7 linked regions of the Danio rerio genome follow. The protein of the gene in region 6 interacts with the protein of the main gene of each other region in a pairwise test. Links are inferred from orthologs where the notes say so. Each region holds a gene or a part of one and is shown on either strand. Other genes may lie near its edges.

Region 1 (4,692 bases), on a different chromosome or scaffold from region 6:
CTGCATTTGACTTTCACTGATAAGTCCAAAGGTCACAGACAGTGGAAAATATTTAATGTGGCAGCATACCTGAATTGAGACACCAAAATTGTTGCCATCTTCTATTCTAGGGATTAACAACTGAACCCACATCTTGACCTAGAAGAGCACGGGAAAATTATTTAATCATTTACCTAACACGCTTGAGTGAAAGATGGCACAAGACTATCAACGTACTGTGTTGCATTTTTCCATAAGAGTTCTGATTTCAGGCTTGACTTTTTCAATCAGCTCCACCAGCTTGCCATTGCTTTTCATCATTCCACCAGGCATGACAAAGACCTTGGTCCCGCCAACTACAACAGAGCATATACAGGAATCAGAGAGTGAAATCAGAGAGTGTTGCATTGGTTACTGCAATAAAGCAGCATGATATCAAATCTAGTATGATTTCATAAACTACACAGCATCCCGATATTCACAGAATTCAGGCAAACTTTAGCATAAAACCATACATTGTATAATCAAAAATTATAAAAAATGTAATACCTTGCAAAATAGCATTCAACACTTTGAGGGCCTTAAATTTCTCTACATTAATTGATCAACTTTTAATACTTTAAGACACACTGTACAAACAGGAACTTTAGTATAATGTAAAGAAGAGTGAGGGCTGGATCTGTCAGCACAGCAGAGCACATGGAAAAGAGAGGAAAAAAGACAAACGAAAAACAAACAAAACAACAAACAAACAAGATCTCCGTTTTTATTTTTTCCCCCAGTAAATTTCAACAGTATTTTGCAGAGTGTTTGGCCTGTCATGAATAAAACACAGTCATGATTATACAAATACAACTCTAAAACAGCCAGTAGGGGCAGCAAAAAGTTTAAATGAATTGAAACCTGTCTTTAGGAAGAGTAAAATGATTAATGCAAAATACATTCACCCAGGGCCAAAACACCAGTGTTGCACTGAGAATTGCTCATAAATATTTATTTATAGTTAATATAAATATTCTTTGCATAAATATAAAAAACAGAATGAAATATTTCCCAGTTTCAATATGAGCATTTAATAAAACAAGTATGTGTTATCATTGACAATCAACACTGCACACTTTCAAAACATATTTGTTTAACTTGGTAAACTAAAGACAATACCCACCTTTGTCGTCTCCTGCTCCATCTTCAAATTTCCTCTTTTTAGCATTTTGCTATTGAGAAAAATGTCAAGGTTATCTTTTTATCATATTCAGAGATTTTTGATCAACATCAATAGATGATATGACTGACTAATGAAGAAGACACTTGAAGAAAATGACTTTTACCCCCTCAATCCCATCGTGGATGTCTGTAAGCAGAATTGGGTCTGGCACTGTCAGATTGATCTCTGAATGAATTTCCTGCAGCTCCGTGATATTAATTGTGGGATCCTACAAGTGATCAAATGTATGAGTGTTTGTACAACAGGTAAAAGACTCAATGCATCATTTTGGGGTTTCAGCCCCTTTTAAAACAACATCTGGGTTTCACCAAGTAAAATTTAAGATTTTTTTAGACCATTACGAATTAAATTGCAAAATTTTACAAATGCTAAGGATTATTTTTAAATATCCCAGTTAGAAAAGATTTTCAGTTGCCCTATAACTTTTTTTGTAATGTAATACATTTAACAAAACAATTATAATATTAATAATTTAGTTTGATTTTTTTAAATAATTGTCAAATATATCCATTCACAAACTCTAAAGCCCTTACAAATATCAGAACAAAACATAGCTGTCAATTACTTCAGTCTACAAAAATAATAAAAAATATAAGACAGTCTCCTGTGTTAGACCATGGGCTGTATTAGCCACACCAACTTTTTGGGTTGGGTTTTCTCATTGAAAAACTTTTCCAAAGTAAAGTGAACTTCTAACAAAAAAACTGCAGAAACTTGTTTTAAGCATTATTATTTAAGTTTGATTTCTCAAAAGTCTGACTTTTCATTTCAAGATATGTAGCCGTTGAGATTTTTAAAGTTCTTCTTTAACATTTACAATGAAAAAAATAATTTTTCATAACAAGTCAATGTGATTTAATTGAAGGACGTTTAGATTTTTGTCCTGGACAACAAACTAAAAATCATTCAAATCATTGAAGTGCATGCAGCATTTAATCAAGACTTTGCAATTTTAAAACGTTCTGCTCCAATTTACGACTTTTTGCCTTCAATCTGAAGAGAGACAAAGCAAAACCCTGATCATAAACCACCATCAAACACTTACCTTCAAAAACTGGTCCAGTTCTAACAATTTCTTCGGGAAAAAGTTTGCAACCAAGTCTTCAGCCTATATGTCAACAATAAAACAATAAGTGTCAAATAGTCAAAGAAATGTCGGTATATAAATAATACATGTATAATTTATACATGTAATCTCCGTTAATTTACCTCTGATGTAATTCGTTCTCTAAAAGCATCAACCTGACAAGACAAAAACATTAATATGTAATTTTAGAAACACAACTAAGGCAATTCCCAATCTGAATTTTGCAGTCACTGCTTTTATTATTTTTAATAAAATCGCTTTAAGAAAACAAAACAGCTGGCGGCCTTTCTGTTTTAGGGCGCTGAATGTAGAACTGCACAATCCCGCTGGATTAATTTATTAGCCTCATGATCTTAACTGTAAACCTTTGACAAAATAAGTAGATATTAAAAATTACTTTTAGCTCGCTAATGGAAAAAAACGATGGCAAACTTCTCTCCAATTCTCCCGTAACGACATGCTGCTGTGCTAAAAACACGCTTCATCCGCACACCCGCTGTTAACAACGACTCCGCCGAACATGTGGGGGCTTCGGCTTCAGCTTGGTGATCTGATATATACAATCCGAACGTACTTAACGTTTAAATCAATATTTTATTTGAAAACTGTTTGATTTTACAAGCAAATCTGGATCTGAAAGTTAGCAGATGTGCTCACGAGGTGACTCACGGGCAAGCCGGCTAGCCGCAATGCTAACATTTACAAACAGTTTATTTGAGTGCGGCGTGTTTAAATAAAAGAAACGTTAAGACTTTTACCTTTGTTTTGATTTCATTGTCCACCTTCAGGAGCGAAGACATCGTATTAATTCAAGAAATGTGAAAATGAAGGGATTGTCCTAAAAGCATTAACTAACCGTGTGGCTTACTAACTGCTGTCAGCCACAAGGCACTTGCGCGCTTTTAGATGACGTAAAACACAGAGGCCATAGATGCGAATACATGATAGATGTGCAGAAAGAGTCTGGCATTCGTGACCAAATTCAGTCGAATTAATGCAACGACAACGCAGCTTATTCGTGTGCGGTTTGGCTGTATTCTAAATAGACACTGAAAAAAGTACTGGGTTATTTATTTGAACACATTGTTGGGTGAATTGTGCTGGATCAAAAGTATGGACTGTTTGATGTAGGCTACTATAAAACATTTGGGGTTTGCTGACCCAGTTTAAACTGGGCTTATTCGCTGATGAAAAGGTCAGGTCATTTTGATTTAGCTGGTTTATTAATTGCAAATTAGATAAAAAATTTATGGTTAATAGAATATATTAATGAACATGGGGGAAATAACAAACAAACAATAACAGAGATACTGTAATTTAAGTAATAATTATAACAATAATGAAAATAAATGACAAGAACAACATCAACAATCATCAATCAATAATCATAATAAACCATTATTTATTTATTTATTATTACCACTGTTGTTCTTGTAAGTAATAATAATAAAATAGAACATTAAGAATAATACTAGTAATAGAGTTTGACATTATGGCTACAAATTCTATTTCTCTCTTTAAAAGGTAAATCTGATCCCTGACGTGAATATCGCTTTTAACACGGTATCTATGTATTTTGATATATCTATGTTCTTGACGACTTGGAAAAGAGTGAAGCGCATGTCTGCGTCATATTTCTCGCTGTACATAAATTATTTGATGAAATCACAATATAAGTACCCACAAGAACAATTAAAAGCTTTCGCTTACCATTGAACAATTTTTATTTTGATATTTGATAAAAAGTATAAAAATATTTTGTTCGAACGTAAGCAAATCCGAGACACTTCCTGTGACGTACATTGGAGGCGTGTCTGAATCTAGCGATGTAAACAAGAACGCAAAAGACAAGTCTCACAGTGTTGACAGCACCACGGGCATTTAGAGCGTCGTATCCCCTCATCAAACGCTTCCGTTGACTCTGGCTCACAGACATGAACCTCCCCGTCACTGTCAAAGTGAACTTTAGGGGCAACGTGAAGAAATTTCCAGTCTTGGACACGAACAAAGCACAGTGGGAGACTGTGGAGGCCTGGGTAAGGAGTCATTAAGCCTTGCTGGGTGGCGTTTATGTGGGGACGTTTACATTTCTTGGTCCTACAAGGCCGTAGCTGAGGCCTACATAAACAAACCTTTAACCGGATGCTAAAAACGAATAACGTACAGGCAAATTCTTTAATCCTGTCATAGAAAATATGTCTTAACATGTATTTTAGCTGGGTCTTCTTTTAAAATCCACAGTGATGTAAATTGCAGCAATATCTATTATTTGCTCTTGACCTTTCTGTTCGGCCATAAATCAGATGACAGCTTCTAAATAAACACTAACGATGTAAAATATCGTTCTCGTTTTAATCTTACTGTGCCTTCTTTACATTTTCTGTTTATAACTTTTAGATTA
Region 2 (3,966 bases), on a different chromosome or scaffold from region 6:
TAGTCCTCCCCCTCTTATTATTTATATATATATATATATATATATATATATATATATATATATACTTTTTTTGTTTTTGTTTTTTGATACATGCATATATCTCTGTGGGCCTAAATATAAATATAATATAAATATTCATTATATATATATATATATATATATATATATATATATATATATATATATATATATATATATATATATATATATATATATATATATGGGAAAAGTCAGTTTTAGTAAACAAAGTCTGTTATTATGATATTTGTTGTTTAACACTTTAAACTACAGTTTAATTGAATAAATATACAACTTACAATTGACAATATACTTTAGATTTTTTTCTTCTCAAATTTAATTTGATTCCTGTTAAAAGGAAAAATGTGTCCTTAAGGCTTAGTTTATTATTATTATTACTATTATTATTATTATTACTATTATTATTATTAATGATGATATTATTAATATTATTAATGATATTATTATTATTATTATTATTATTATTATTATATTATATTATTTTCTATTATTACTTATATAATTATTATTAATAATTATATTATAATAATTATTATTATGATTATTAATATTATTACTGATATTATTAGTATTATTATTAATCATATTATTATTATTTTTATAATTAAGTATATTGTTGTTGTTGTTGTTGTTGCTGTTGTTATTATTAATTATATTATTATTGTTAATATTAATATTTGTAGTAGTAGTAGTAGTAGTAGTAGTAGTAGTAGTATCATTATTGTTTATATTATTAAAATTAATTTTTATTATTATTATTATTATTATTATTATTATTAATTATATTATTATTATTATTATTATTATTATTGATATTATTAATTGTATTATTATTGATATTAATATTATTATGATTATAATAATTATTATTATTAATAGTATTATTGGTAATATTATTATTATTATAAAAAAAAAATAATTTGGTTGTGATTTTTGATGTTTGATTGTATTTTTTAATACTCTTGCATGTACATTATGAATGTATGAATTTAAAAACATCGTACCTTAACTTTACATTCATAACACTTGTTTTATGATGTGTTTATGATGTCTCCAGTCAGTGAACTAGTTCTGCTACATTGAATATTTCCCTCATGAAATGCCTGTTGTCCTGCAGGAGCTGGACCTCAGAGGGTCTGCATGAGGAGCGGTCGTGGCCTGTGCTTAGTGAGCGGTGTGTAGAGGAGGAAGAGGAGACCTCTACCCTTCAGCACAGCCTCCACAAGCTGAAGCAGCAGCTGGCGACGGAGCGAGCCCGACGGGTGGAGGCAGAGCGAGAGACTGAGCTGACTGTTCTGGAGAACAGTGCTCTGGAGGACCGCCTGAGCCTGCTGGAGGGAGCCCGCCGCAGACAGGTACAGCCTCCACCCGTTAGCGCATTAGCTTGGGCAACCTAAAAATATGTCTTTTTTTTTTTCGATTCGGACGTTTAGAAATGAAACTTAAGAGACAGATGATGTTTAATTTTACTGGTGATTCCAAATATGTAATGAGATCTTAAGCTTTGATGAATTTGATGTTTCTCCGCTCAGACAGAATGCCTGAGCATACTGCCCGAGAGGCGTTTCAAAGATGGCCGCCGAGTGAAATGGCTTCCCTTAAAAGAGACTTTGGTTGTTATTAGTGCTGCCAATCGATTAAAAAAAATTAACTAATTAATCGCACCTTTTTAAAAAAATTCATCGCGATTAATCGCATTTAAAATACTGAAACTTGTAATTTTGGCTATTCAAATGTAAAATTAATGTAAACGCAAGACAAAAACTATTTAAATTTAAAATATAATTGTTTATTAGAATTAAAATTCAAAATATAATTGTTTATTAGAATTTTTGTTTAACTTGTAACACAGATTTCTTCACGTAAACAACATACCCACAATAAACCATCAAGATCCTGGCTTGACAGGATCCCTCCTACCTCTTCAGGTAGCCTATGTCGCACCACTCACCCCCACCGTCCTTCAGGTACGTCTCGAGCGCACACGCCCCTACTCAGATATGTCGCTCACTCCACCCCTGACACCCTTCAACCGGCCTGACACAGACACACACACAACGCGCTGCAGACGTTTTGGCCCCAACGGCCTTCCATACTGGAGCGACTCCCCTCAGATTCAACACGCATGATCACGTTCATCAAATTTGCCTAAACTAAGCGTCCTAAAGTATTACTGTATTTCACAAGGATTCTGACACAACATCGTGAAGCATACGCTTTTGTTGCGTTTAATGAGGAAACATGCTAAACTTGGAGGGTTCATGCTGAAAGGCAGAGTAATGCCCTGTCTTTGACAGCTCGCGACTTCATCAGAGACTTTCTGAGTACATTCGCATAAGACACCAATACTCCGATTTTAATATGATTAAGATAATACTCTTATTAAAATTCTACCGTGTAGCCTAAGCAGTGATTTTATTACCTTAAAGCAACACCGAGTCACGAAATGCGGAGGATTTTCTTTCTGTTCGCCATGCGGTATCAACTTACAACAGATGTCGAAAGTTAAAAATGAAACACCCGAAATTGCATGAAACTCTGGAGAGCCTGGTTATGCGACTAATTGTTTTATACTGAAACTTGCCTTCAAAAAGTGGTTCCTTGGTCTTATCCACATTTCTTGCATGTTGAACACACGTCCACCACAACAGGAAGTAAAAAAAACCTGCAACTGCGTAAATTTATTTTAACCCGTTAATTCAGGGGTGTCCAAACTTTTTGGGCCGAGGGCCAGAAGCAAAAAAAAAAAAAAGTTATTCCCGGGCCATATATTAAATACATTACACAGACACGTGCATATATATATATATATATATATATATATATATATATATATATATATATATATATATATATATATATATATATATATATATATATATATATATATATATGTGTGTGTGTGTGTGTGTGTGTGTGTGTGTGTGTGTGTGTGAATATGTATATGTGTATATATGTATGTATGTATGTATGTAGCCTGTGTGTGTGTGTGTTATAGAATTATTTTAATTTGTTATTTTAATTCATCGTCCAACTGTGTTTCTAGAAAGACTTTCGTTTTTAAAATCTTGAATCTTCTCTGGGCAAATTACACTTGCAACACTCCTCCCTTATAAATTCTCCTTCAGTGAAAGGTTTCCTGTGCTGTGCGATTAGCTGGGCTACATCATAACTAGCCAGCGTAGAATTTTCTTGCACTTTATTAGCACGAAAAAAAACTGCTGTTGTTGAGCTGATAAGCCAGCTGCTATTTGTTTTACTTTTTGATCTCGTTCGGCACCAGTGTAAGAGCTGAAAGCCTGATGATTTATTTTATAATGTCTTTTAATATTATATTCCTTCATTACTGTAACTGATTCCTGGCAAATTAAACAGACACATTTCCCGCTGACCTCTGTGAAGAAATATTCTTTGCCCCATCCTGACTGAAATTTCCTGCACTCACTGTTGATTTTCCTTGTTCTTGCTTGTGCCATGGCTCGCCTAAACCTGATTATGAATTATGTTTCTTTCAGTTTGTTGTTCGGTCCGTTTTACTTCATAACAGGAACTGCTGCCTAATTGAAGGCATGTAATAGCGACACCCGGTGGTTATTTATTGAATTACACACATTTTTGTATAGTGGGCCAGTTTCTATAAAATATTCATAAAAAGCCTTGCGGGCCGCCACAAAACTGATCGCGGGCCGCAGATGGCCCGCGGGCCGTAGTTTGGACACCCCTGCGTTAATTATTTAAAATTAATCGCATGCGTTAGCGCACTAATTTTGACAGCGCTAGTTGTTATATAACATTCCGCCCAATAAAACAAGCTATCATCCATACTTGCATGATACATGCTGCCTTTGTTTGCACTCAGTGATGTTGAATTTGAAATGAAATGAAACAAAAACATGTGGTTGTTGCATAGGCTAATGATGTTTTCTG
Region 3 (4,591 bases), on a different chromosome or scaffold from region 6:
ATTAGTACTTATAAAGTACAAAATATGCATGATTTTTTTCTACATCCCTAACCCAATAGCTAAACTAACTCAATATCTGTTGAGAAGCAAATTATGAGCAAAAGTCATAGGTAATGGTTTGCTAATAGCGAGAATTGAACTTTAAAATAAAGTGTGACTAGAAATCCTGCTATTTAATCATTTGGTGAAATTAATTAGATACAGTATATTGCAATATACATAAAATCACAGAAACCTAAAATACCACAATATTCCATTTGTCCAATATTGTGCAGCCCTAATGAAGGCCCTTTTATTTCTAGAACATTTTAAATGTCTTTACAACTCTTTGAACTCCTTTAAAGTGTATTAGACGTTATATCTAAACAATCGTTTCTCTGGGGTAATTATGCTTAGTGGTCCAACGTGTATTTTGAAGGCTTGGTAGCGGTTATAAGATGCAAAACAATGTGTGCTCATGCTTCATTTGTAGAAAATCATGTTATTTATATATATTATCATATTATATACAGCTGCTCAGCTAACATAAAAACGACTGTCAAATTTCCTAGTTCCTCTGAAAGGCCCGCCCTCAGGAGGCTCTGATTGGTCAGCTAACATAATGTGCTGTGATTCGCAGATCGGCTTCACACCACCAGGAAAAGCATCACGTCCTAACAAGCATGCACTGTTGCGATGTATAAACACTGTCAGTCAGAGTAGCTGTTAGCCGTATCAGTTTGTGCCTGAATCAGACAGAAAAATGACACAGAGGACACAGCTGAACCTCAGGCCTGCTCTCTAAAATAAAATCTGACTTTCACATATATTCAGAATAAGCATGTGCAAGTAATATGAAACGTTTACATGTCTTTTGTGAGTTCATCATTTGTGATGTAGAATGCAGGGAAAGCGGCCGCATAGAGAGGCCTTGCAGCGCTACTGAAGATTGTGGGTGTTTACAGGGTTTTGACTGACAAATATTAATTTGTAGCTAAATTGTTAAAGGTGCCTATCAGCATTTCCTGTTGTTTACATCCATGTTTACGTCCATGCTACAAAATACTGTTAACGCTAGACACTATGCATGTACACTCAAAAAATGACGTTTGCAGTTTGTTCAAACTACTTATTTAAAACGAGCTTAAACAACACAATTCATGAGTTTTTTGGGGACAACTTAATTGTTTTATGTTCAATCTACTTAAATTTGTAAAAACTAATAAGCTAACTTAATTCCTTCATGTTGTCCCAACACATTGATTGTTGCGGTTTTTACAGTGTAATAGGTCAATTTTAACAAATATTAAAAATGCTTACAGGTTGTGGCTCACAATCTACAGCTTCTTCTATTATGGTTGGAGCTGCTCCTTTTTTAAGGAGTTTTTATCGGAATCCAGCACTGAACTGGGAATGATTCTGGAAGCTGTCCTTTGTCAAATACTGGCTATATATATTTTTAATAATTCTCTAGAACATAATTAAAATTCAATTGCAAGCACTTTTCTCTTTGTGTCATGTCCTTAGGAAGCCCACATATGTGTCATGTCCTTAGGAAGCCCAAATACAGAAACAGAACAAGCCCTGTAGCATTTTGGACAGCATTTTAGCTTTCTCAGCTACATTACAGCACCTCAGGCCATGCCCTTTTGCTGCGTGTAGTGAATGCGCGAAACCTGAAGCGTTCGTGATCTCACTAACATGGATGTTTTTTGTAGTCCCCACAATTCTCACTCACTGTAGGCTTTGGTAAGCTAACTGTAAAAGCCAATGTCTCATTGAAGTTTGGCTGAATTACATTCAGAGATGTTGTTTATGTTCACGCAGCTACATTACACATCAACTAAAGTTTAAAACATGATATCAAAGTGAACCACCGCTTTAACAAAATCAGCTTTTAAGTTACAGGAATATTTTACATTTTAAAATATAATCAAGTAGAAAACAGTAAATACATATCAAAATTTGACTGCCTCTGATTTAATAAATGCCGGCTTGTTGAGCAGTACAGACTTCTCCAGTACACACACACTTTTAAATTTTAAACCCTACTATACCTATAGATTAGATTAGATTTTATTGATTGCTAATTATTTGTACATACCAATAGTTTGTTTACATATAGCAGATACTATTTAAACAGCTTTACGAACACACTCTTACAAACACTCCAATGGGGATGTTTCAGAAAAAGCACAGTGATTGGTTGTTGTGAACCCCATATGGAAACAATGATGACTTGCATTTTCAATTTTAAGAGCCTCCAGCATATTTGGTCGAGGCAATGACATTCCTAAGCAACTTAACCCTTCCCCTTTTCCCACTTTCAGTACAGATCACATGAGCTTCAAACACATGTCTCTTACAAGAAAAAAAAAAAGCATTAATAAAGAAGATGACACGAGATTTCAACAGGCTTTCCCCAGCATTCATGGTTTTTTACTGAATGAAAGGGAAATGAAGATGATTTGTGTCAGCGTGTTCTTTTGTGCTATACACACACTATTGTCCCAGACTGAACCATCATCAGTATATTGCGTCAAAGAGTCTGTGCAAACACATGTCAGTCAAAATGAAGCTCCAACGCTGATAAAGCTGACTGACATCAACAGGTCTCTTAGCAACAGCCTAATCTGCTGAACTAATGCTGATGCACGAGCGAACACACAGCGAGGTAAAAGACCTGACATCTCAAACACTTAACAGTGCAAATGATGAACATGAATGTTATATAATGAGCTTTTAACTATATTTTATAGTATATATTTTAAATAAAAAATAATAATAACTCAACCAACTGAATGTTAGGTGAAGAATGAATAAAATAGTATTATAAAAATACATATAATATTTTAAAATACATTTTAGTAACAATAAATAAACATTGTTCAACCCAATATAGTGTAAAGAGGCATGTTGTTTGGAAATTCCATGCTTGCATGTTGAGAGTATGGACAAAGACTTTAAATAGTTTGTTAATGGTACGGACGATAAGAATGCAATAGATATGTAATTTGTTTTTTCTTACCATGTTTGTGGGTGCTGTGAGCGCAGCGCTGATGTTGTCTCGGTCAAGCGGCTGGAATGGATTTCAACCTGTGGCCAGAGCGTGAGTTTACGATTCCTACTATGGTGAAGGAACGTCTTATGAATATTAACTGCATTGCGTGATTGGATGCTCACCGGGAAACGTCACGACGCGCTATTTAATATTAATTTATGGGCCCTGTTTCTGCTGCCCTGCCAGAAGCCTGAGCGAAATAGAAGTGTTTGAACTGAAGAGGCCTGTGATGCAGTTGGGTGACTTCACACAGTGAGATAATAATTAAACCGTGAACAAACTTTAGCAGTAGAACTTATCGAGCATTCATGCAGGTCGTCAGGTGACAAAAACAGTGATTTCTTTTTGTCTTATACTGCCTTCAAAATGTATTGAGGATTTACTTTATTATATTTATATTATATTATATTATACTTAATAATATTGTATTTAGGGCTTACTATCTCATTTTAGAAATCAGCCATAACTAAGGTTTTCGTAATTAATACGAAAGGATATTTTAATGTACTGTGCCATAACAGCACTCGTATAACGTTAGCTATTTGAGTAACTTAATTGAAAAAAAAACAATTGTAATAGAAATCTGCAGATAAGTTGGTAATTTGTGACACAATTAAATGTACATTAAGGGTTGTTTATTTACATTAGATAAAAAAAACTAATATAAAAATGTCAAAAAGTCCTTATTAGGGTATAGTTCACCAAGAAAATTTGCCATTTAGTCACTCCTCTCATGTTCTGGACAAGTTTAATTTTTTTATTTTCTGTTAAACACAACACATAAGAAGATATTTTGTAGAATGTTGAAAACCTGTAACGATTGACATCAATTGGAAAATCAAATAGCCTAACGTTACTATGGGAGTCAGATTTCCTTATTTTCTTATTTGTTTGAATTAAATTTTTGTTTGGTTGAACTATTCCTTTAGGTGAAGTAATTAACCCAGGGTCTTATTTTTAAATCTACATTTATTCATCTCTAGAAGAGCAATTAGACGTAGAATTAGAAGTGCTAGGGATGTACTCACTTTTATACACACTGTAATAAAAGAGCATCACAGTTAAATAATATAATTAACATAAAAAGAGTACAAACATGATAAGCGATTGCTTTCACTTTTGCTTGTTTGCTTTTCCCCCCTATGGTTTTGTTTAAGAAGATTTTTTTTCTCTCAAGTTTAATTTTTTAAACACTAAAAACTTGTTTTAATCATGTGTTTTTATAATTTATGCCATTTATGAGTAAGAGGTATCATCTTCAAATGCACTTACATACAGATTTTATTTGTGTCCAACATTCCTTTGACTGCTCCCAGGCAACTAATCCCAGCCAATCTTTGGTCAATCTTCATGTAGAGTCTTATGGTAATAAAAATGTCCAACACATCTCAAAGATCACTGCAATCACATGTACAGTGATCTTTGAGCTCTCTTTATTTTCATTTGCACAAAAAGAGGTAAAAAGTAAAACAGAAGATTTGGAATTAACAATGAAGGCAGTCAATATCTTCGATGTTCTCTTGTTAGCAGGAAGTTTACTCCCAGCAGGGC
Region 4 (3,294 bases), on a different chromosome or scaffold from region 6:
TAAATGTTTTCACGTTTAAGTAATCCAAAAGAAATGCTATGAGCTTTTTTTAAATCAGTTTTAATATACAAATATGAAATGTTGGGGAAAATGCAATAACAGGTTGCATCAGTTGACTGTCCTATTGAATGAATCATTGAATCATTAATTCAAATAATCACTCAGACAGCAGATTCGTTAAAGAATGAATCTTTGGGGATTAATCACTGAATCACTGACTTAACTGATTCGCTCAAAAACACAATCCTTCAGTTACGAAACATCTGCATTTCATATTTTTGTAAAGAAAATACTTTTTTATTTATTTGAACACTTGGGGTTAGGTTTAATCATATTTTTTATATAAAATTAATGGCTGGTCCAAGTCAAAAATAAACAAAACGACATGCTTAAATATAATTTCATGATTTTCAAAACCTGGAAGTGTTTTTTATTCTCCAATGTTTGCTGGAGAACTTTGTAAATTAAGTGTTTAACATAGCTATGATTTGATGACATACACTTGAAAAATAAACATGTAAACACTGTGCATATATGCAGGGCATGCGGAGTGTAAGCTGTATATAATAAATGTTTCCAAAATGTAAATAAAACAGTAAAGAAGTCACTGTTTATTAAAGTAATTCTTTATTGAGTTGAAACTATTTCATTGTACATATTGCTTGTCATAAAACCCTCATCATGAACCAGTGAAACTCTACTCATTTAAATCACACAGGAAAAACCCCTCCATTTCTGATGGAATAAGAGACAATAGTAGGCATAATAAGCAAAATTCATCAATGGAAGAGCACCTGTCATTGACCTTAATAAAAGTGAGACTATTGTTACAGTTTCTGTGCCTGCAACCAGGTTTTAAAGTGCTGGATTTGAGCGGTGACGCTACTTTTCGATGTGCCACCGGGGGCGCTGTACTGTTCAACACTTTTGACGTAATCCCACACTGAAGAAACGTCCTTGTCAAAAAGAGAGCTGAAAAGAAAACAGAAATAAACAGATTGATTTTCATTCCATATGCTTTTATCAAGCCTTTATTTTTTAATGTGCCTGGGTCAAAAATGAGACACGCCATTTCCTTGTTTGCAGTAAAATGCATTTACAAATATATACAGACACACAAGCTCAGAGACTGATATATAGACCATCCTAAGGGATGTAAACAAAGACAGTGGTCCTTATGTGTTTCCTGTTCTACATTTTTTATTTTCTATAGCTTTTAAGAATCTAAAAAGGTCCACATATTGATAAATAATGTTATGATGGCTTTTTTGATGGCAAGTCATGATTGAATTGCCTCTTGTTACAGTTTGATAACAAGCAGAATATGTTCATGGGCCAATTTCATGACCACATTGAAATGGTCTATAATCGTCCAGTTAATAACCTGTAATATGAGCTAATAAGTAATGCATTTGTCATTCACATTAATGCAGATTTTCACAGAATGACACTAACATTATATAAAGTTTAAGGCAAAATAAGAGAAGGTTTACGGCAATTTTGAACCATACTATTTTTAATAAGTAATTTCTAATAACTAAAATATTTTGTCATTACCATAAAGACTAGTTATTTTGCAAGATACCTGTATTCAGCTTAAAGTGTAATTTAAAGGTTTAAAAACGTTGATTGGGTTAACTAGGTAAATTGAACAACAGTGGTTTGTTCTGCAGGCAATTAACAATAAAATCTTAAGAGGGTTAAAAATACTGACCTTAGCAGTTTTTACTTTTTAAAAATATATATTTTTTATTAAAACCAAAATAAAGTAGTAAGACTTTTTTCAGAAGAAAAAGATTCATAGGAAATCCAAAGAGAGAAAAAAAACAAACATAATAATTTTAAAGAGCAATTTTATAGTTTATAATAATATTTCAGATAGATGAAGAATGTCTAATACCAAAAAAATGCATAATAAACGTGATAATATCAATACTGCAATGCATTTGGGTGTGTGTGTGTGTGTGTGTGTGTGTGTGTGTTATTGATTCATTTTAGATTCATTTATGCCCATAAAAACTACAGGCAATGCCAAAAGCTAACTGCAGGTACAGTAGCTGGAGCACCAGTCTTAGCAAGGAGACACAAACACAAATACTATTGAGGGTTGTAACTGTTAAAATAATTTTACCACTGTTATAGACTGAGAATCGCAGCATCAGAAGTTTGGAATGGTTTGTTACACTGAATTAAATTTCCCAAAAAATGATGGACAGAACTTTGCTTTTGCCATTAATCATTAAGGGGATTCTTCGCCCAAAATACCCATTCTTAAAACAGCAAACAGAAATTATTCATGAACATAGCTTCAAACTGTTATTTTTAAGGCCCCTTGTACGTCAGAAGCAAAAAGTCCTGTAATACCAACAGTGTAAGAAATATATTTATGTACAAATGAAAGAACATACTTATTCTGATCTATTGTGGCCAAGCATAAATGTTTAAAATTACTATCAGTCAGTATTTTGGGGCTGCACTGATATGAATATATCATCAAATAGTTCTTGTTCTAAATATTTCAAGAAGATATTTTAATATATAAACTTTTGCTACATTGAATTATATTTTAATGGTTAAAAATCATGATAAAAATGTATAATCATTTCATTTTGTTGTTGAGAAACACATTCGAAGGTATGGGGGGTATTTAAAACCATATTGAACTATTTTCACCTCATTTATCTTTATTTTCCATCTTTGTCCCATTACTAACCTGACCGTCTGAAGGTCCTCTACAGTGAGTTGGGACAGTCGAATGTTTTTAGATTCCGCGATATAGACAGCTTTCCCAGCACAACCATGAGCCTCTCTGAAAGGCATCTTTAATAAAACATGAACAAACATCAGATTTCATTCAGCTCTGCTCCAATGCAAATAGCATTTATTATAAAAAAATATCTAGCCTTCTGTACTCACTCCTTTTCTGACCAGATGATAGGCGAGATCAGTGGCCAGCATATCTGGACTGAGGGCTTCTTCCATCTTTGCTTGATTGACCTAAAAAAAAAATAGAAAAATATAACATACTGCAAGCAGAATCTACAATTAATAGAAAAACTTCTCCTTTCACTGCTTAAATTTCACCCTAAAATTGGATTACTACACGTCCAACAGGTTTACATCTCATTCCACTTCATTTACTATTTAACCAAAGTAACATTTTTGCTTTTGATTACCATTGTTCATGATAAAACTGCATTAACTTGTGATGTAACCCGTCTCTCACCTTTAGAGTTGAGATGACGCCTGTCGCCACCTGCAGCACAGCGTGTACAGTATCATATGTATCAAACA
Region 5 (4,628 bases), on a different chromosome or scaffold from region 6:
CATGAAAAAAATAAAGTGCTTACTCTGAATCATTATAATAATAGTAATATCTGCAAAACACTCAGATATCTATTACAATGTCAAATATATTTAAAATAGTCTGTTTGTAAATTTGGTTTAAAATATAGATTTTATTGTTTAGATAACCTTGTGTCTCCTCATCGATGATGAGTAGGTTTAGTCTGAGTTTACTTGGGATGACTTTGGACGTATTGTTTCACAGTATCAACAATAGTTGAGACCTCAGCCATGGCACCTTTACCTGTGAAAATAGAGGGCAAACTGTAACATGAGCTGAAACCAATGAAACATCACTTTCTTATAATCAAGAAGCATGCTAATTATCAAATCAGTTTGATCTTTAGTTAACAAAATATTCATGTGTGACTTCACACATTGTTTTGAAGTAGTCCTTATCAATGCAACTGGCTCATAAAACCATTACTGTATCTTAGAAGATACCTTCATCTCCACAGACGAGTTTTTTGGCAATGCATGGTATCTCAGCGTAGCCAAATGCTTTAATTGTGGACACTTGCTGAGCAGTAATTGGATGCTGCCACATGGCTGTGTTCATAGCAGGACAGAAGAGCAAAGGGCGGCTGATGTCCCAGGCCCGCACCACACACGTCTGCCATAAACAAAACTGGTAAGCACACTTCGATGATAACGCATACATTGAAAACGCCACTGGAATGTAATAAACAAATTACCTACCAGGAGGTTGTCACATATACCACTAGCGATTTTGCCAAGTGTGTTGGCATCTAGTGGAGCGATCACTAAAAGATCTGCCCAACGTCTTAATTCAATGTGAAGAACTGGGTCAGAGCGCTTTGTCCACATCTAGCATAGAAATATGAGGAAAGCAGTCAATTTAAATCCTCTTATAGGAGCTTTTTTAGATGATGCGATTAGTCTAGGTACTGATGTAAACACCACAGCAGGAAAGAACACAAATACAAAGTTGTTGTTTGCAGTGAAAAAGAATCTCTTCCCCTTTAAAGGTAAAACTCACCTCCCACTCATCCTTATCTGTGTACACACGAACAGGGACTTCATTGATATCGTAAAAATGAGTGGCATGGTCTGTGGTGACCACACGCACATCAACCTGAACAACAGAACAGGACAAATGTCTGGTTACCTCACAGAGAACCCATCTTTGAAACTTGAGTTACTCTTAAGAGATATATAAAACCGTTTAAAAAACATTAAAAGTTAAGAACAGGGTTATAATAACTATAATAAAGCTGTTATATAAACATTTTGTTTTTGATTTTCTAGTCACTTATTATTTATTTCATAAAACTGACTAATTGGTCTAATAAATAAAAGAAAATTACAACCTGAAAAACATTCCTTTTATATTTATTTTTAATAAATGTTTTGAAAAGATAAATGTTGTTTTTTCATTTTCTGAAAATGCTCTCTTTTAAAAAAGTCTTTTAGAAATAGCTTTTTTGAATGTCAAAAAAGAAATTAAAAAATATGATTTTATAATTGAACAACTATGATTTTAAATACAGGTTAAACTTTCATTTTTCATTAGAAATAGTATTCATTTTTTCATCAATTTTTATAACCCTTAAATGGGGAGAATAACAATATCCAACATCAAAACAAACGTAGGGTAATGATTTACAATTCACCTGTATACAGGCTTGTAGCCAAAGGGGTTTGGGTAATTCTAAAGGCCCACACCTCACTTGACAATTGTTCATTATTTGTTCCATACATGAGCTCATTTGTCCTATTTTGACTGCTATGCCATCATAAATTGTTTAAACAAATCATCTAAAAAGGCTTTAAGACGCAGCGGAATTCTCTGCTGGCTTTTGCTTCTGTGTGACTTCAGCTAATCAGTTGGTTTTGACCAATGCAAACAATTCTTTTTTTATATTGAGTCCAACATCCAGCTGTGCAAGAATATATGCAATCTGACTTTCAGTACTGACCTACTGTATTGTTTAAATAGAGAAAACATTTAGGAAGTAACTTTTATTCTAAATCTTGGACCTACTCTTGAAAAAAAAAAAAAAAAAAGTGTGAAGCACCAAAAGAAGCCCATATTGAATTAATTCGAATACTTATGAGAAAGGTTAGAAAATTCATAAAGCTTTATAATATTATTATTATTATTATTATTATTATGTAAATGGACAAATTCTGATTGGTTCTTTTTTTAAATTACAAATTTGTTATTTGTCAATAGGTTACAGTACAGACTCATTTTTTAATGATATTGGAGGAACATTTGTATTTTAAGAATAGGTATTTATTCATATTTTTTTTTAGTATTTAGTATTTTTTTATATTTTTGATAGATCAAAAAGTGATGACCATTCGACAGGCTAATCCAGCTAAAAATATTGCTAAAAATATGACTAATATGAGGTATATAGATCAAACAATTACATAGAAGATGAGGCGAATAACTGCATAAAGGTCCCCTTTTTGAGAAAAAAGAACCACCCCTTTTACGAGGCTGCCAACGAGCCTGTGTATGTTTGCTTATTTGAGATAAAATTAAACTAATACCATTTCCTTCTTTTACATTTTTCATTTATTAGACTACAATAGACGACAAGAATATAACTTGAACAAAATGTTTAAAGAAATAGCACTCTCTAGCGGACAAATGTATGAAATGAAAAGACATTGGAGAACATGAACTCAAAGACATCCGTGTCTCTGTCAGGTTAAGACAGTAATGATTTACATTTTGTTCTGTCTATGTAAACATACTCACCTCAGGAATCTCAAGAAGTTGTTTAACCAACAAAGGCGCCTTGAGTGCAGCGACACTGCCGGTCAAACCTACCAGAACATGAAATCTTGAACCAGTCTTTTGCAAGTCTGTTTGTAAATGATCAGATTCAGAGTTCTGCTGCATTATAAACACACTATTTAATATACTTGTTAAAGTATAATGCTTTAACTTTAGACTGAGTGAACTACCCGAACAAAGTTTCCTCATATAAGATAACTATTATTTATATAATGTATTGTCAATATGTAAACTGTTTCTCGGATAAGACATTTTGGACATTTATATTACACATTTACTGCGCGTTAAGAAGCGGTGCACGTTATTAACCGTCGCATATTTTTCAGGATTTGTCCACTTCCGTAAACATTGGCGTAAAAGCGGTTATAAACGACGTCACAGCGCCTCCTCTGACTGGAAGAGTAAGTTAAGCTGACAAATGGATAAATCAACACACAAGAGTTTTGCATTCATTCATTCATTCATTTTCCTGCGGCATAGTCCCTTTTTTTCATAAGGAGTTGACACAGCAGAATGAACCACCAACTTATCCAGCATTTGTTTTACACAGCGAATGCCCTTCCAGCTGCAACCCATTACTGGAAAACACCCATACACACTCATTTACACACACTACCGCCAATTTAGCTTACCCAATTTACCTATAGTGCATGTCTTTAGACTTGTGAGGAAAACTGGAGCACCCGGAGGAAACCCACATGGACTGGGGGTGAACAAGTAAACTCCTCACAGAAATGCCAACTGACCCTGGCCAGGACTTAAACCAGCAATCTTCTTGCTGTGAGGTGACTGCTAACCACCGAGCCACCGTATCGCCTTTTGCATTTTCAATGAAAATGAAATATGATTTAAACTTCCCCAATAACAAGTGTGACGCGATAAAAACTTCACAGGAGATTTATCCTATATATGAATGCCTAAAAGTGTATAAATCTACAGTGTATGGTATTTTATGGTACTCATTTAGCTCATAATGTTGCTAAAATTCTCCGGCAAACCATTTGCCAGACATTAATTAAATCGTTATTAAAATGTTGCCTGATTTGCTATTTTATTCATCTTTTTTATCCCTGTAAAATGTTTAACTCTAAACCAAAATAATGATTCAGATCAAAGTACTTTTAACTGAATTCTATAGTCTTTGTTCTGCTTGGTCTTGAATGGTCTTGCTACCTTTAAAAATGCAATAAGGGGTTCAGGCGAACAAAACAGGGAGTCAAAGCAGGTTGCATGAACAAATAAGGCCTCCAAGGTATTTGAAAGGAAAAGCGGAACTAGGTTTACATTTTTTATTTTTTTTTTTGTATCTCTGAGTTGACACTTTGATTAATGATCTGAGTATCTGAGCTAATTTTGCCCATTTTTTAAAGTCTTGTGCAATGAAATACATAAATAGTGTAAGATAAAGAAGAGGACACACACATAAATAAATAAAGAAAAGGAAAATAATGTATGTAACTAATCAAAAAGACATAAAATGCTATAAAGAAAAACACAAAAAGGTGATTCATTATGGAATTATTTATGGAAAAACTCAAATAGTATTTCAACTTTTTCTACATTTTAGCAAACTGCTTGTTAGTGTTGACAGAAAAAGTCAGAGAGAAAATTGTTTTGGTTTTGTTAAAAATTTGCTTTTATATATTATAATTAAAATTGGAAAAACATCAAATTATCTTACACAGTGTTGAGACAATATCTGATTTGAAACAAAGAATTTGGATAACTCAAACCAAAATTCTCTGATAAGGGAACCCTATCAAATTTGTGAGTGTAGTTTCTACACTTAAGTAGGCCTATATGGGGCATTGCCTCACAGCAAGAAGGTTGCTGGTTC
Region 6 (4,455 bases):
CATTTGTAATGAAGCAGGGTTTCGCAGACTGTCGCCCGCTGAGGTGAAGGATTACCTGGCAGCAATTGCTTAAAAACTACAGCACTACAACTGCTTACACAGTTTCGCATTTCGGTTTGGTTGTTTGTTTAAATTCTGCATTTTTATTATCTGTACATCTGTGTAACTGATTTCTTTATAAAAATAATACACATCCTCGACAAATGACAACAATGGCTTTCTTTTCTGTGACCTTTCTACCTGACTATAATTAAGCCACATTGCCAACTGTTCAATTAGTAAAAATAATTTCAGAGTCAATAAATGTGTCTTTTGAGGCCTGCTTAGTTGCAGCATTCTCCATCATAATAGGATCTTTCCCTGAGGCTCTGTTTATGTACATTTTTCAACAACAACAACAAAAAATGTGCTGGAAAAAAAGCATTACTTTACTCCAAAGTGTTTAACAAAGTCTGAAAGGCTGTAAACCTCTCCATATCCCACTCGGGGATCCATGCAGATGAAGTCATCAAGATTCATTTTGGATTCTGAAAAGGACACGTTATACATGAAAGTGGAAGAAGAAATCAAATTATAGTATTTACTGTATATAAATCTGCAATAGAAAACAAACCTGGTGTCTCTAAACATGGATATGCTGGAGGTGGCATACGCCAATTCCCATCGGAGTCCTTCATATGAGACCGATCAGAAGCAAACTCCTTCAAATAAGTGTCCCCGGGTATGACTCGAAGTTTCCTAAAAGAGCAAACAACACTTTGATTACATTCAACTAAGACTGGCTATTATTATTATAAGGGTCAAAGACATAAAGGAGTTTAAGCATTTGTTAAAAAATATATATATAAAAATAATATTATTTAATGCAAAAGTAAATTAATTGACTATTGTCCATCACCACAATTTACATAAGATGACCTCTAAAATGTAGTTAAGTGTAACAGTAGTTTAAAATACTAAGTTATATTTAAAACAAGAATAATGTGAGGCCATACTAAATGGATAACAATGCAGCCTCAAAATACTAATTCATATTAAAATCTTCATTCAATTTTGTCCTCACATTTTATGATGTGCTTTTCTTTTATAAATTTATTAAGTACTTGTTACACTTATGTTATTTCATCTTTTGTAGAATGCAGATTAGACCAGATAATACTTGCCTCCAGTAAGCAGGTTTCAAATGCTTGTCAGACTGAAAGGCCTCCATTGAATAAACGTCAAGCGAACAAGGAAATGGAAGAATGGTGTCTAAATCGTAAATGAAGCTCGGTCCTTGTTTACTTGCGTGTAGAAGAATAACATGGTAATCCTAAATGGAAAACAACATTTTTATATCAATTAGAGACTACCATAAAATATGCATAGTTTTTATACATATAAAGTTCCTACCCAAATTACTGGTTCATCCCCTCGACTGGACTTTTGTTTCCAAATAGGTATCTGAAATATTACACAATTTTTAACACACATACATACTATATATACACTCATTGGCCCCTTTTGTTTGGCACACCTTACTAGTACCGGGTTGGACCCTCTTTTGTCTTTAGAACTGCCTTAATCCTTTGTGGCATAGATTCAACAAGGTACTGGAAATATTCCTCAAGAGATTTTGGTTCATATTCACATGATAGCATTACACAGTTGCTGTGGATTTGTTGGCTGCACATCCGTGATGCGATTCTCTCATTCCACCACATCCCAAAGGTGCTCTACTGAATTGAGAGCCGGTGACTGTGGAAGTCATTTGATTACAGAACTTCATGTCATGTTTTACAAACCAGTCTGAGATGATTTGCGTTTTATGACATGGTGCGTTATCCTGCTGGAAGTAGCCATCAGAAGATGGGTACACTGGTCATAAAGGCATGGACATGGCCAGCAACAATACTCAGGTAGGCTGTGGCGTTGACACAATGCTTAATTGGTACTAATGGGCCCAATGTGTGCCAAGAAAATACCCCCCATGCCATTACACTACCACCACCTGAACCGTTGATACAAGGCAGGATGGATTCATGCTTTCATGTTGCTGACGCTAAATTCTTACCCTACCATCCGAATGTTGCAGCAGAAATTGAGACTTATCAGACCAGACAACGCTTTTCCAATCTTCTATTGTTCAATTTTGGTGAGCCAGTGTGAAATGTAGCCTCAGTTTCCTGGTCTTTGCTGACAAGAGTGGCACCCATGTGGTCTTCTGCTGCTGTAGCCCATCTCCTCAAGGTTCGAGGTTCAAAGTTACTGGAATCACCTTTCTTTCCCATTCTTATGCTTGGTTTGAACTGCAGCTGATCGTCTTGACCATGTCTACATGCCTAAATGCATTGAGTTGCTGCCATGTGATTGGCTTATTTTTGCGTTGAGCAGCAGTTGGAAAGCTGTACCTAATAAAGTGACCGGTGACTGTATACGTGTGTGTGTGTGTGTGTGTGTGTGTATATATGTATATATATATATATATATATATATATATATACATATATATATATATATATATATATATATGTATGTGTGTGTGTGTGTGTGTGTGTGTGTGTGTGTATGTATGTATATAACAGAAAACTGTACATTTCATTAAATGTAAAATACTTGTGTGGAGATGAAGCTCACCTTCTTTCTTTCATTAGATATAAATACTGCATACACCTCTTCCAAAGGACAATGTCTCTGATTCTTGATATATTCACACAATTTCCACACATTCTCCTCACTGCAACAAACATTTAAATACGTGTATGAATACGGTACGTTTTAAATTTGAAATAATGTTACAGGTATTATCGCATTTACCAGTAACAGCTGGTGTAAACACATTGGTTTCCGGACGGGGTGATCACTTTATATTCAGACGAAGCGCTTTCTTCATTCATTCTTTCCTTCCTTATATACGTGTATATACAGTAGGTTTACGCGGACTTCCAGTTATAACGACATGACAAAAGAATACATGTGTATAATGATACCATAGATATTTACATTAATATTACAATGAAGCGATTCGCGTTGCAACCGCACTGTTGCTTGTTACAATGTATCTTGTCCGTAAGGAACTTCAGGGGATTTGTCGTTCCGGCGAGACAGGTGATGCGCGAACATTCACTCCTTATGTGAATTGCAAATGTAGCACTTGCACGATTATCAGCATAAATATTAAACAGTCTAACTTTCATAAAGCATAAGTAGAAAACACGTTAGCGAAAGATAACGTGCAGTTAGGCATCGTTCTCAACTCAATACAATTAGCCAATGTATTGGTTTCTAATTTCAGAGTATCTGATTGTATTTTGTTGCACGTTAATTCGTTTTTTGCCACATACTTGTATAAATGTTTGTGGATATCTATAAATTTTTTTTGTGAACTATATTTTGTTTTAAACTGAAAATGTGTTTCTGTTTCTAATGCATGTTTATCTCAAACCCTTTCATTTCTCTATACATGTTCACTCATTATAGAGTCCTGACAATATGTTTCAAACTATCAGTCCATTCAAATTGTCTACCAAAACCACAGTATGAGTTAATATTAAGGAGGTTAGCACATAGTCTAAATGAATAACTATGTAGTCTTGTCAAAAGTTGTCTTGGTTCACACTTGCTTTGGTCATAAAAAGCCACAAAATGTTCTAAATATATATGCGTACAAGATGTCTTTTGTAAAATAAGGTAAATATTTTTTTGGATTAAATATATCACATTCTGAGAGATGTATTTATTTACTTGTACAACTGTTTTATTACACTTTTTATTGTTTTCATAGGCTAAATCCCCATTTCTGAGCCACAAATAAACAGCTCTTTACACTTTTACCGTTTAAGAATCCACTATTTGCTAACGTGTTTGTTTAAAATGAAATTTGATAACATTCAAATACTTATGATGTTATAAAGTAAGCTAAACCAACAAATATTAACCATATTCTTTTAACAAGATGTATAGGGCCACCTATGTTTTGAGGTGTAGCCATCAGAAAAAGCCCACCATTAACACCTCGTTTTTAGGAATGTCTTTTACTAATGATCTCATTAGCACTTGTGGACCCACTGATTTGAGAGCTGGTGAACTGGAAAAACCACGAATAAAATAGTTGAAATTGCACTTTATTTTTGTTACTTTTTAATAAAATGATCTTTCTTTCTATTTGACTGTAATGCTTTGTGTACTTAACATAGTGTAAACATAGACACTTTTCTTATGCAAAAAAATAATAAAAAATGCACAACCAATTTCACTTAACATTAGTAACACCAAATAGTGAAGAATACACCCTACTTGCATTTTACTTGCTTAATATAAAACCACTTTTGTTATTTTTATGTGGGTGCCAAAATTTTAAGCTATTTCTCTTCGTTAAATAAACTTCTTTTGGTAAAACCCAGCTAAGCCTATTTTGAATTTAAGTCAAGTAAACAAAGGAGTCTGGTTAGTTATAGATTGAGTAACTTTGAAATC
Region 7 (4,660 bases), on a different chromosome or scaffold from region 6:
GTGGACATTTAAAGGATAAGTTATGCTTGCGCCATCACAACTTTACACATTACATGATCAAAGATCATATTGAATATTCGGTTTATTCGTCAGAAGCCTATAGATTTGTTAAAAGTGTATTTTATAAACGGATGGTTTATAAAGACTAAGCTATTAATATATCAGACATTCATTAATACATCAAGACATCGATGTCAGGTAGGACAACAAATCACATCCATGTAATGAAATCTTGTTGAGTGGTATTGGTGCGTGGTTTCAGCATTTCATGTGCAATACGAGTAAGAATATTTTAACCAAGTATCGACCCAAAACCTGATACTGGTATCGGTGCATCCCTTATTATTATTATTATCAAAAACACACTTGTTTTATTTATGTGGGTGCCAAACAACAAACTATGAAATGCAGCATGACACGCCCAAAAAGTGTTCCTTTGAGAACAACTTCATAAATATGTTTCTTATCATTATGCATGAATGGTGTACTGGGAGAGCTTTGGTATCAGAATTGAGATAAGAGACTTTGGCATTCTAAAGGACAATGACATTATCACACTGACAGTCAACAACACTTTATTGCTCTGGAAATCTTATGTCATGGGGCAAAGCTGAGGTTCATTAGGACAGTACCTTATTTAGAGATGAATGGGAAGGCTGTAGTGGGCTGCTATCAGGGAAGGGTGGTGGTCCTCGGGGGAACTATGGACTCACAAAAGCACATCTGCTGTAACAAGATCCCCTGTGCAATCTACAAAAGTTACAAAGAGAAGCATGGTTGGTTAAAAAATAGAATTGACTGGATATGCTGAATGCATTGTTTGTTGTGTGTTACATCACATTAACCACAGATTGGTGCTAAATATTTGCTTATCTTATAAAAACCTGTGTGTTTATAAAGGGGGGTGTGGATGGATGCTTGGCATTCTTTGAAAAGATGTTGGGGGATGGAAGGAGGAGACCTTATTGATGAGTATCCAGTTTGCAGATAACAAGTTTTTAGACATTCATACTATGATGCTGTTTATGTCTGTTTTTTCTCATTTTTTCTATACACAAACAGCTATAAAACATTCACTTTTATATCTGATGCTGTATATTAAATTTCGTTGTATTTATTCTGTTTGCTCTGTTGGGTCATAGCTAGGGCCAGACAGAATCTGCTGACATTTTTTGCTTTTTCTGCAGAGAATTTTGTAAACAATCTGTGATTTATGCGAGATTTTTTCGGGAGTATCGTAACTAAAAACTTACTATATGAAATAAAAAAAAATAATACCTTTTTAACTTTTAATAAATATATACAATGCAAGTCCACCTAGATCCAATTATTTGGTCGACAAAGCAAGTCTCTCACATAATATATCTTCTAAAAGACAGAAAACATTACTTTCAGACCATATTGTAATCAAATGAACACTTTCATATTAGTCAATAATATTACGGAAATGTATTTAAAAACTGAATAAACATATATTTACACCTTTGTCTTTATTTCTAGAGTGCTTTTACAATGTAGATTGTGTCAAAGCAGCTTAACTTAGAGGATTAGTATAGTAAATTGAAACTGTGTCAGTCCATTTTTTAAGAGTTTAAGTTCAGTTCAGTTTAGTTCAGTGTGAGTTAATTTTTACTGCTGAGAGTCCAAACACTAAAGAGCAAATCCAAATACACAAGTCAATAAATAAACTCAATGATGGGCTAAAGATCTGGGGAAATCTGCAGATTTCTGTGCGCACAGATTCTGTGTGGGCCTAGTCATTACCTATACTCAACGTTTACTCTGAGAAACTTCCATATTTTAGAGGTAAAATGCTCAGAATTGTAAAAAGTCTTGTCAAAATACTTGGAATTTGCCAAAAACAAAATAAAAGTCACATCACCTCATTGTCCTTGGTATCAGCAAGCACTTTTAACACAATCAGCTGTTTTTGTTTATAACTCCCACTGAAGGCCATGTGCATTACTCCCAAGTTACACAGTAAAAAGTCACATGTAGTTTATCATGATCACTGCTGCTCAAGCACAGCTTTATCTGTTATTCAGTGTGGCAATATCTGAAATGTGTGCAAAATATTATTTATTGTAGCTGATCACCAACACTTTCAGTGTTTTTTTTTTCTACTTTTAATGAGAATTATGTTCTTAGGATTTATCCTTATAAACCTCTTTAAAAAGAAATGTTATGTCTGCATAGACACGACATGAAATTATGAACAGAAAATTTAACTATTTAAGATCAAGACTTGACATATAACATTTCTAATGAACATTAAACCTGAGGTAGGCCCACTTGCAAAAATGTAACTGCTATCACTCACTTTATACATCATTGTGTAACTTGTACACACAAAAATAGTGAAGCAATGTGGCATGGAATGCAGGTCCCATTCATTCAAAGTTATTAAAGCACTTTCTTAAAGTGCATTACTACTGAGCTAAGACCAGCTAGTTGCTCATACAACATACTACAAGTAGTGTCATCCTAATTTGGATAAAAAAAATGTCCATTTTATACATGGAAAAGTACTCATTAGATCCCCCATTGTTTGTATTACGGTATTTCGTGAACACAAGAGGTAAATGACCTACAGAGCTGCTGTTGTGTTAGATTGAAAACACAACACAGGATCATGGAGGCATCCATCATTATGACGCATTCTGCCACTTGTAACTCTGCACAGACTTTTTGAAAAGTTTAATTGAGTCTTGGCGTTGTCGCAGAAAAATACGAAAAATTCTGTGTTAAAATTTGCAAATAAAAATTCCAGTTTTATAGGAAATCGCCATGGCCTTGTTCTTTAACCAGTTAAGCTTCCCCTTCTTTCACTCTCAAGTTGCAAGAAGCAAGTGTAGCAATGTGCACGCGACAGCCGGGTGTGTGACGCTGGACCAATCAGAGCACAGAGCTCCGAAAGTTTACCTTTTATGGCTAGAGCCGGGTATGTGCCGTCATATAAAAGAGCGCGCCCAGCTTTTCAGCCTCACTTTGAGCTCCTCCACACGCAGCTAGTGCGGAATATCATCTGCTTGTAACCCATTCTCTTAAGTCGACAACCCCCCAAACCCAAGGTGAGTTGGTTTTACAGTTTTTAAGCGTTTAATTATAGTTTCTATCTATTAATGTTAAGTAAAATGTGTAAATGGATAAATATGATTTGATGAAGTCTTTAGACAGTTCATAACGGTCTCTTTGTAGTTATCTACTAGGTTTGATTTATAAGTGGTGGTTCTTTTGATAATCTATGTTACATTTAATAAATATTGGCTGTATCTTAACTTTTTTGTAGCGTTAGTGGATGTGGCAGGTGAGAATGTCGGTAATTTAACGTGACCAGTCGTAGGCACGACATTGAACATTGAATAGGCCGGTGTGAAATGGGTGTTAAGTCTTAATATAAAGTTGTGTTCTGGCTAATCTCTCTTTAACAGCCATAAATGTGATTTTTAACTACAGTTTTGAGGGTGCTGGTGAGCATGTTGCACACTTGATGGATAGCCGGCATGGGAAGTTCTTTGTGCAGGCAGTGCTGCAGCAGGGTGTGACCTACTTTAGCTAGCCGGCTAACCAGCTCTCATCTGATGTAACGTAAACCCCATCAATCTAACATCGGCTCATTCGTGCTTTATAAGATCGAAGATCTTGTTATTAGTAACGGGTATTGGCATTTAGTTTTAACTTGGTTAATTTTCTTTTTGTTATGTGTTCTATTTAAATGTAGCCTGCAGCCCCCTCTGTCTTTAATGAAGCTGAAGATTAACGTTAACGTTAGTGAAGTGTTGTATCCGCTATGAAAGATTTGAATTTTAGAGGTGTGGTCCACTTTAATAACGGCTGCGGAGTTCTCTGGCTGCACTTCAGCCGCTGTGACTGTCGAAGCAGAGCCCATCAGTTTTTCAGGATCTCGGTGATTTTTGAGGCTAGACTATGAACTGAACCGACTGAGAGTGACCGTCCAGAAATGCTTTAGTGTGAAGTCTCCGCTCACGAGGAGTCCGTGGACTGACTGCAGATCTGTGACGCAGTAACACCCGGCGGCAGACACCCGTTGAAATGCGGTTGTGTAATTGATCGCAGGCGAGGGTGGAAGAGGATGTGAAACTTCATTTGTGTAAAATTTAGGGAGTGGTCCTGGTGTGATGAATGTCGAAATCTGTTCCTTTTTACTGAGCCCTACGACTCTGGCTGAGTGCCACACCGCCGGCAGCCGCAAAGCGGCTCAAACCATTGCCTTTTATGGTAATAATGAGAGAATGCAGAGGGACTTCCTTTGTCTGGCATATCTGAGGCGCGCGCTGTCACTAGCGCCCACCAGCGGTCAGACTGTAGAATGCAGAGCAAAACAGGAAGTTGACTCCAGATGGTCACATGCTTGCTGAAACGCCTCTCCCTGGCAGCAGTGCAATTCTAACAGTTTCCCTTTCTTTTACAGTTCAGCCATGGATGATGAAATTGCCGCACTGGTTGTTGACAACGGATCCGGTATGTGCAAAGCCGGATTCGCTGGAGATGATGCTCCCCGTGCTGTCTTCCCATCCATCGTGGGTCGCCCCAGACATCAGGTGAGAAGACCGATTAGTTTGATTCTGACCCAAACTGAGAACTTTCTCAAGTAGTTCACAAAATGTAACGCTTGTGTCCTTGCATTACAGGGTGTCAT

Evidence for each region.
Region 1: the proteins of ntaq1 (region 6) and psme3 interact in binary tests that used the Homo sapiens proteins (3 or more experiments, as listed by UniProt). The two-hybrid records come from large-scale screens. The link is inferred for Danio rerio from reciprocal best matches to the Homo sapiens genes NTAQ1 and PSME3.
Region 2: the proteins of ntaq1 (region 6) and cdr2a interact in binary tests that used the Homo sapiens proteins (3 or more experiments, as listed by UniProt). The two-hybrid records come from large-scale screens. The link is inferred for Danio rerio from reciprocal best matches to the Homo sapiens genes NTAQ1 and CDR2.
Region 3: the proteins of ntaq1 (region 6) and pcbd1 interact in binary tests that used the Homo sapiens proteins (3 or more experiments, as listed by UniProt). The two-hybrid records come from large-scale screens. The link is inferred for Danio rerio from reciprocal best matches to the Homo sapiens genes NTAQ1 and PCBD1.
Region 4: the proteins of ntaq1 (region 6) and asl interact in binary tests that used the Homo sapiens proteins (3 or more experiments, as listed by UniProt). The two-hybrid records come from large-scale screens. The link is inferred for Danio rerio from reciprocal best matches to the Homo sapiens genes NTAQ1 and ASL.
Region 5: the proteins of ntaq1 (region 6) and ppcdc interact in binary tests that used the Homo sapiens proteins (3 or more experiments, as listed by UniProt). The two-hybrid records come from large-scale screens. The link is inferred for Danio rerio from reciprocal best matches to the Homo sapiens genes NTAQ1 and PPCDC.
Region 7: the proteins of ntaq1 (region 6) and actb2 interact in binary tests that used the Homo sapiens proteins (3 or more experiments, as listed by UniProt). The link is inferred for Danio rerio from reciprocal best matches to the Homo sapiens genes NTAQ1 and ACTB.

Annotation. Positions count from the first base shown.
Region 1 is NC_133187.1:29,023,807-29,028,498, forward strand, and holds the start of psme3 (proteasome activator complex subunit 3), read right to left. Parts: upstream 3,209-4,692; 5' UTR 3,092-3,208; coding exon 3,050-3,091; intron 2,447-3,049; coding exon 2,414-2,446; intron 2,313-2,413; coding exon 2,250-2,312; intron 1,413-2,249; coding exon 1,308-1,412; intron 1,194-1,307; coding exon 1,145-1,193; intron 336-1,144; coding exon 217-335; intron 139-216; coding exon 70-138; intron 1-69. UniProt on the Homo sapiens protein: Subunit of the 11S REG-gamma (also called PA28-gamma) proteasome regulator, a doughnut-shaped homoheptamer which associates with the proteasome. 11S REG-gamma activates the trypsin-like catalytic subunit of the proteasome but inhibits the chymotrypsin-like and postglutamyl-preferring (PGPH) subunits.
Region 2 is NC_133178.1:62,633,543-62,637,508, reverse strand, and holds part of cdr2a (cerebellar degeneration-related protein 2), read left to right. Parts: intron 1-1,156; coding exon 1,157-1,394; intron 1,395-3,966.
Region 3 is NC_133188.1:28,937,717-28,942,307, reverse strand, and holds the start of pcbd1 (pterin-4-alpha-carbinolamine dehydratase), read right to left. Parts: upstream 3,030-4,591; 5' UTR 3,011-3,029; coding exon 3,008-3,010; intron 2,654-3,007; exon of another isoform or gene 2,540-2,653; intron 1-2,539. Other genes in the region: si:dkey-192p21.6 (uncharacterized protein), read left to right, coding at 4,270-4,405, 4,568-4,591. UniProt on the Homo sapiens protein: Involved in tetrahydrobiopterin biosynthesis. Seems to both prevent the formation of 7-pterins and accelerate the formation of quinonoid-BH2. Coactivator for HNF1A-dependent transcription.
Region 4 is NC_133196.1:33,930,177-33,933,470, reverse strand, and holds the end of asl (argininosuccinate lyase), read right to left. Parts: coding exon 3,227-3,294; intron 2,998-3,226; coding exon 2,917-2,997; intron 2,821-2,916; coding exon 2,714-2,820; intron 973-2,713; coding exon 828-972; 3' UTR 611-827; downstream 1-610.
Region 5 is NC_133193.1:20,362,029-20,366,656, forward strand, and holds the start of ppcdc (phosphopantothenoylcysteine decarboxylase), read right to left. Parts: upstream 3,133-4,628; 5' UTR 2,981-3,132; coding exon of another isoform or gene 2,897-2,980; coding exon 2,753-2,896; intron 1,115-2,752; coding exon 1,019-1,114; intron 847-1,018; coding exon 718-846; intron 632-717; coding exon 463-631; intron 263-462; coding exon 189-262; 3' UTR 1-188. UniProt on the Homo sapiens protein: Catalyzes the decarboxylation of the cysteine moiety of 4-phosphopantothenoylcysteine to form 4'-phosphopantotheine and this reaction forms part of the biosynthesis of coenzyme A.
Region 6 is NC_133194.1:37,454,338-37,458,792, reverse strand, and holds ntaq1 (protein N-terminal glutamine amidohydrolase), read right to left. Parts: upstream 2,877-4,455; coding exon 2,797-2,876; intron 2,717-2,796; coding exon 2,617-2,716; intron 1,444-2,616; coding exon 1,393-1,443; intron 1,313-1,392; coding exon 1,164-1,312; intron 739-1,163; coding exon 614-738; intron 528-613; coding exon 424-527; 3' UTR 408-423; downstream 1-407. Other genes in the region: psma2b (proteasome_alpha_type_2 domain-containing protein), read left to right, coding at 1-73. UniProt on the Homo sapiens protein: Mediates the side-chain deamidation of N-terminal glutamine residues to glutamate, an important step in N-end rule pathway of protein degradation.
Region 7 is NC_133178.1:39,482,372-39,487,031, reverse strand, and holds the start of actb2 (actin, cytoplasmic 2), read left to right. Parts: upstream 1-1,743; 5' UTR 1,744-1,756; intron 1,757-2,981; 5' UTR 2,982-3,071; intron 3,072-4,432; 5' UTR 4,433-4,439; coding exon 4,440-4,562; intron 4,563-4,652; coding exon 4,653-4,660. UniProt on the Homo sapiens protein: Actin is a highly conserved protein that polymerizes to produce filaments that form cross-linked networks in the cytoplasm of cells.